Linked DNA regions of Macaca mulatta. The protein of the gene in region 2 binds, or shares a complex with, the protein of the main gene of each other region. Links are inferred from orthologs where the notes say so. Each region holds a gene or a part of one and is shown on either strand. Other genes may lie near its edges.

What was found.
Region 1: the proteins of KCND2 (region 2) and KCNIP2 are in contact, whole or in part, in a cryo-EM structure (PDB 7UKH), measured with the Homo sapiens proteins. The link is inferred for Macaca mulatta from reciprocal best matches to the Homo sapiens genes KCND2 and KCNIP2. Residues at the interface, in NP_036413.1 of Homo sapiens: Val5, Ala7, Trp8, Leu9, Pro10, Phe11, Ala12, Arg13, Ala14, Ala15, Ile17, Gly18, Trp19, Met20, Pro21, Val22, Ala23, Ser24, Gly25, Pro26, Met27, Pro28, Ala29, Pro30, Trp55, Asp57, Arg61, Arg100; in NP_775283.1 of Homo sapiens: Arg112, Gly113, Phe114, Asn116, Glu117, Cys118, Val123, Phe128, Ile131, Tyr132, Gln134, Phe135, Phe136, Tyr144, Leu148, Phe152, Phe165, Leu169, Ile172, Leu173, Arg180, Trp183, Ala184, Leu187, Tyr188, Met201, Met205, Ile208, Met211, His228.

What each region holds. Positions count from the first base shown.
Region 1 is NC_133414.1:113,910,949-113,914,154, forward strand, and holds the end of KCNIP2 (A-type potassium channel modulatory protein KCNIP2), read right to left. Parts: exon of another isoform or gene 3,070-3,206; coding exon 2,999-3,069; exon of another isoform or gene 2,869-2,998; coding exon 2,761-2,868; intron 2,604-2,760; coding exon 2,499-2,603; exon of another isoform or gene 2,470-2,498; intron 2,363-2,469; coding exon 2,300-2,362; coding exon of another isoform or gene 2,252-2,299; exon of another isoform or gene 2,114-2,251; intron 2,012-2,113; coding exon 1,964-2,011; 3' UTR 581-1,963; downstream 1-580. UniProt on the Homo sapiens protein: Regulatory subunit of Kv4/D (Shal)-type voltage-gated rapidly inactivating A-type potassium channels. Modulates channel density, inactivation kinetics and rate of recovery from inactivation in a calcium-dependent and isoform-specific manner.
Region 2 is NC_133408.1:160,514,166-160,517,817, reverse strand, and holds part of KCND2 (A-type voltage-gated potassium channel KCND2), read right to left. Parts: intron 3,529-3,652; coding exon 3,281-3,528; intron 1,623-3,280; coding exon 1,445-1,622; 3' UTR 1-1,444. UniProt on the Homo sapiens protein: Voltage-gated potassium channel that mediates transmembrane potassium transport in excitable membranes, primarily in the brain. Mediates the major part of the dendritic A-type current I(SA) in brain neurons.

The DNA.
Region 1 (3,206 bases), on a different chromosome or scaffold from region 2:
TCTGTCTCTACTAAAAATACAAAAATAAGCCGGGCATAGCAGCGCACGCCTGTAATCCCAGCTGTTCGGGAAGCTGACGCCGGAGAATTGCTTGAACCCAGGAAGCGGAGGCTGCAGTAAAGCCGAGATCTGGCCACTGCACTCTAGCCTGGGCGAAAGAGAGAGATTCCATCTCAAAAAAAAAAAAAAAAAAAGAAGAAGAAGAAGAAAAAAAGTAAAGGGAGCCCCCTCAAAAGAAAGCACTTTGAGATTAACTAAAAAGTCTGTAAATTAGAAATCTGTGATTCAACTTGTAAGAATGTCAGCTAAAAAACAGCTTGCTTGGCACAGTCTTTGGGACATCAGTGTCCTGTCCTTCCTTCCTTGTCTCCTCTCAGGCTGTGTGGGAGGGAGATTCATGTGGGGGCCTGAGGTTCGGTGGGTTTCCAACCATTCCAGAGCCTATGTCTCAGTCTCATGCCAAGGTATGGCCAACTATGGAAAAGAAAGCTACTTTCCTGGGGATCTAAAAGGCTGCAGGTGCATGAGTTAGGGGTTGTGTAGTATTTGTAGGTGGGAGGGACAAAAGGCAGAGACGGCAGCCTGTGCATAGCCATTGTGTTTTATTAGATCTGGTATAGTTCTTATTTTACAAAATATATAGAAGAGCCCAAAATGCAAAGCAGTCAACAGTCTTCTGATGGGGAAGGGGGCTCTCTGGGGGCCCTCCCCTCAGATTCTGGCTGACTGGGAGGGTAAGCTGAATGGGACGAGCAGGTGTGCTAAGGGATGGCAGCATGGCTGGGGTGCTGACAATGGGGTTGGAACCTGGGTCCTATGGTCCCTGCCCTCTGAGTGTGCTAAGGGGCATCTCTGGGTAGATTGAGTAGAGCAAGAGGAGACTCTAGGGAACTGAGGAGGTTATCTGGGGGGTTGGGGAGAGCCCGGGTTGATTGAAGATCCTAGTGAATGCCCCCACACTGGGTTCAGATGCTATGCCTGCCTCCCTCCTTCCCTCTCCCTTCTAAGGCATCCACTGTGGGGAGTGATAGGCCCCAAGTTCAGGAAGGTCCCAAGTCTATAGAGAACATGGGAAACAAAAACTCAAGTCACAGCCCTCAAAACAGGGGCGATGAGCAGGGAGGGTGGGATGAAACTTTGGCAGGCATCAGCCAGGACATCTCCTATCCACATTCCCCTGCCACAACCACCACCAACACATGCAGGAAGGAAGGAGAGGAAGCAATGCCAGGGATATGCCAGATATCTAGCCCCAGGCTCTCCATGGATATCGAGGAGGGTATGGAAAATATCTGGGGCATTTCCAAGGAGACAAGGTCTTCTGCAAAGCCTGGAAACTTATATTTTGATGGCCTGTGGTAGCAGACCTGTGGAACTTGGAGCTATAACCTGGTATGCCTGAGCAATCACATTGTGTCCAGGCCTTTCTATTCTCAACCCCAGCCACCTCCTAGGACCTATCCATTGACTCAGGCCCAAGATTTCTCCCCTATACATTCTTGTCCCCCTCCCACAGGGCTCTCAAAGGCTGGTCTGAGAAGCCAGCCAGTGCCAAGAATGGAGCATTCTCTCTGAGAAGGGAGTTTTAGGGGAAATGTTTATGAAGTCAGGGATGGGGGAAGCACCATAGCAGGAGACATCTGTCTAGTGTGTTTCTAGAGTGGGGGTAGGAGGTGGGGAACCACTCAGTTCCTACAGGAGGGGCACTCTCAACACTGGGTGTCAGGCAGGAAGCGGGTGAGAGCTGGTGGAAGTTGGGAACACCCCCCAAGATGCACTCTGCCCACTCTCTGGCCCCTTCAGCTCCAGAGATCTGGACTACTGAATCCCCAAGCTCTTGGATCCCTCCAGCCCCCAGGGAGGCCTAGGACAAGGATAGACCTGGGAAGAGAAGGGTGAGGTCCACCTGGACTAGGGTTAGAGCATGGTCCCCCCAGGAAACACTGACCCCCTCTCCTGGGGGCTAGATGACATTGTCAAAGAGCTGCATGGACCTCATGATGTTCTCATCCTGTGGCCATGGTGTGAGCGAGGCAGATTGAAGAGACAGAAAGAGAAGGAGCTTATCAGAGACAGGGAGAGGGACACTGAGTCACAGATGGGGACATTCAAAGGCACAGAGGAAGGAGATGCCCAGAGAGACCTGAGGTAGGGAAGGGGTAAGCCTCCCACAAAGGAATAGGATTGAAATGTGGGGGTGAGATGGGGAGGTGGTATTCTGCCCAAAGAAGTTTTTCCCTACATTACTAAATCAGGCCTGAGTCCAGGTCAGGGTAATGTCGAGGGCAGGGAGCTGTACCTTTTGACAAGACTCAATGAATTCCTCAATGGTCACCACGCCATCCTTGTTTCTGTCCATCTTCTGCAAGAAGGTGGTCAGGCAGGGAGAACAGGAGGGATGGGCAAGAGAGGCAGACAGAAGTCAGGTGAGTTCCCTGCTGGTTCTTGGTCTCCTTCTCTTCACTCCAGGGCCCTCCAGCCTACCCAGTCCCAAGTACCTGGAAGAAGTTCTCCACATGTTCCCTTGGGGCCTCCTCCCGGAGTGCAGGGTATGTGTACTTGCCCATCATGTCGTAGATGGACTTCATGATGTCAAGCATTTCCTGTTAGGCCAAGAGACAAGAGGATGCTTCCTCAGAGCCTCCAGCCTCCCTTGATCCCTTGCTTGTGGGCATATATGGGTCATATTTCCCTCCCATCACCCTCTGCACACCACCCCCATCAGTGCCACAGCCCCCCAGCCCTTCAGTTGCCCTGCACCTCCTTGGTGATGCAGCCATCCTTGTTGAGGTCATACAAGTTGAAGGCCCAGTTAAGCCTGTCATCTACAGTTCCCCGAAGAATCACGGACAAACCAGCCACAAAGTCCTGGGAAGGAGGCAGGAGGGAGCTGTGTCTTCAGGTACTCTTCACCCAACCCCTTCCCTGGGTTTGGCCTGGAGATCCTGGCCCTGAAGTCCAGGAAACAGGCTTCCCTGGCCCACCTCGCCCAGCTCACCTCAAAACTGACCGAGCCATCATGGTTGGTGTCAAAGGCATTGAAGAGAAAAGTGGCATAGGTGCTGGAGTCTGCAGGGTGAGTGTGGAGAAGTTGGCTTCCACACAGGAGAGGACTTCCTCCTTCTATGGAGCTCCCCATACCCCCCATCACCTTGGCATTCCCAGCCCCTCCAGAATCCCTCCCTCCCTCAGCCTAGAGAAGGACA
Region 2 (3,652 bases):
GAGAAAATTGTACCTCGCAATACACAGGAACTTTTCTGAGATAAATTTGTGCTGCCTTCCTGAATGGTGTAGAAAGCATGCTTTCATCAAATATTGCTCAATAAAGCCCTCTAGTTTATCTCTACATTTCAATCCACATTAGTTATTCTCAAAATGTATTCAAGATCTGAGGCAAAATAAATAATACATCAAGTAAGATTCTGAGATGACCGATCCTGTGATATTAGTCCCAGTCAATTCTTTTCATAAAATACATAGTGATAGATCCAGTATCTGGGCTTTTCCATAAACAACAAAGACGTTAGTGATAATTCACATGGGTCAACTCCTTTTTTTTCTCATTTTTGACAAGGGGATTGAGGACAATCTACTTACAAGATAATTTTTTTTTTTTTTTGAAATACAAAAGTAGGAAAGTCACTTGAACTACAGTAAACATTAGTCTTGTTGATGATGATAAACCCAATAGAAAGGTGCTATAGAAATACAAGAACAGATAATGCACTGTCACAGGAATACAGTGGACCAAAGAATATTACTGAAAAACATTTATGGCACAATAGTTTTGGATTAAAAAGTTACCTAAAACCTGGCCACACCAGAAGTTTTTCTACGAACGTGGCTCCTACCGTATCTATAAAGATCTGGAAAGTACAACAACAGAAAAATCCTGATTCCTGATACAACAGTTGTACAATGAATTATTGCAGTTGTAACAGTATCTAGGTGCAAAGTTAAACGATAATTAATACTGAACTATCTGAACACTTTAGATTTACTAATGAGTATCCCCATGAGAAATACTGCAGTTCTAAAAGGAGTTTATTTGCACAGCCCACCATGGAACATGAACACTCAGCTTGTTGTAAGTGCACAGAAATTACCCCTTTCTACAATTATAGTTTATCATGCCTATTCTGAAGACAACATAAAGAAACTGAGATCACTGCTTCAAAGAATTCTAGCATGCATTATGATGGTTTCCTTCAGTCAATACAAATATGTTGTGTTTTTTTTTTCATATGTAATAATCTTCATCATAGCCAATGTTCATGGTTTTAACAGGAAAAAATTTTATCAAAATGTTTTCCATATTTTTTTTGTTTTGCATTCAACTGGAACATTATGTTCAAAGATTTATTTTATTTATTTTATTAAAAAAGAGTTCTGATCATAAGAAGCATCAATAGGCGGCATTTCATTGTGCTCATTCACAAAGTCAAAGGGCCACAGAATATTACTCTGTGTAACAGGTCAAACTGTCTAGAAATGCCATTTGGTGGTTTTATTCACATCCTTAAGATTGGAAGCTTTGTTTTTGTTTCATTTCCAACCTTCTTGCTTTGCTGCCTTAATCTGCAGAATATTAGTTTCTTCTTTCTTCTACGTTGAGATTCTTTTCACAGCCAGGACTCAAATTCTCTTAAACCCTATTCCAAGTGTCTTACAAAGCAGAAACTCTGACAATATTTCCTCCTGAGTACTCAGGAGATTCTGGCCTATCGTCTCCCTCTGGTGTGGTTACTGGAGGTGTTGGGATGCTTATTATTGCTGTAGTCACATAAGGTTGTTCACAGTTTAGTTTAACACACTCTTCCATTTTGGCATTTAAACTGGATCGGCTGATAGAAAAAAAAATTAAGAAAGTAAGTTGTTTAGTTAAATTTTTTTCATACAACTGAGGAATATGTGTTGTAATGCTTATAAAAACATTTTAATTGTCTAAGGAAAGTTATTATAATTAAAAATATCAAACCCCAAATCTTAATCTATGTTAAAGATGAATATAGTCAGTAATTAACATTAAATAAATTTCTAAAAGACAGTTTCACTTGGTTCCATCAAGTGTTTATCAAACTAAAAGTATTATTAAAAAATGTAAGAAAGAAAGAGCATCAAGTAAGATTTGGACAGCCTGGGCTGAACAAAGTAGTTTTATTTAAGACAGGACCTCTAAGAGGTTTGAGAAACCACTATGAAAGAGCCATATCACATTGATTTCTTAATTCTTTTGACCACAGAATATTTTTATTTTCATGTCTTTTTGGGATGTATAATGCCCTCAAATCTCTCAACTTAATGATGACCACATATTATAAAAATCAAAAAATTTATCTATTACTATCTAATACTTTAAGGTTTTCCCAAATGGTATTCTTGGATGAATTGTATACTCTATATGGAGAAGCGGATAAAAGGGAAATGAGAGAGAAGGATATACACAGAAGCTTGAACCTAATTATTTTATTTTCATGGAAAACATAATTAAGATGTTTATGTCCTAAGATTTTCTTGCTCGATACTTTTCCATTGTTGACTTCCTTTTATAAAGGATATAAGGCTGCAAAGCTAAAATATCTTTAAGATAGAAGTCTTATGGCTCCTAAGTTTAATTTTCTAGTCCCAGAGACATCCAATTTATGTAAATCGACATCACCTGAATTCAGAATCTCATCCAGATTTCAACAAAGACTTTTGAATGCCAAGAAAGAAGGGGACTGAATTTACAGACTCTAACACTAAAAACATATGCTATTCAATTTGAAAACAGAATAAAATTATTTTGGCAGAAACTTATATTTTAATGACATATATTGTTTAAGTGTACTACTTTTTCGTTTTACACATTTGTGGTAAAGACAGTGAATAAGGAAAAGCAAAGCAAAAATATCAATACGGAAGTTTTACTTAACTTGTTCATGAACTAACCAGAGGCAAACAATTTTAGTACTTCACTTATTTTTGTATTATGTTGATTTTGTGTTTGATATGGCCAAAAATATCTTTCTGATCAAAATTATATATTGATATAAATGATTTGTGTAGGCAAAGTTTTCATTTTTACTGCTACAGAGAGTGTGTTTGTATATTTTTACATGCTGTTAAATAACTTTTAGCCATGTTGATCTCAATTTCATTTGACTCTTTTAGTAGTGTCCACCATCATTTCAGGCTATTGAATATATAAGAGAATCCTGAGTATAAAAGTCCTTGCCCAAGAAAGAAAAGGTTGTGGAGCAGAAGAGAGAAAAACACATTTGTGTCCACCCAATCATGTTTCCTTCTTTTGACTCTTTGAATATTGATATAACTGCTACTTTTAACCCTTAATGGATATGCAAGTAGAACCACTTTCCTACTTGTTACACTACCAGTTTTGTCTCTTCCTGAACCATAGGAGCTAGGAATTTAGATGCCACATATGTGACAACATGAGTGCAGAAGACACACCCTGGGAACCAGCACAGGTGTGCAGACAACACAGATTAATCTCAGGTACCTGTTAGATAGAGGCGTTCTCTCCACACATCTGATCTGAATCGTGCTGAGTTCTTGTACACTACCTCGATGGCTTCCTGATACGTTGGCATTTGGGATGCGAAAAGTTTTTTTGTGTCGTCGTGAACAGCAGGTGCTGGTGACTCCTTGTTGTGAAGACAGTGAGGGACTGTGACTTGAAGGACGATTAACAGTTGCAACTTCCATGCAGCTTTCTTCAAAGACTTGTTCGTCCACAAACTCGTGATTCTGTTCCACAGTTGTAAGTAAATGAAGAAACAGAGAAGCACGTTTTAAAAAACAAAATACGTAGCTTTATTTTTAAAGCTCAAATATGCCCAAGTATACTTAGACTTGACACAATGGTTAAATA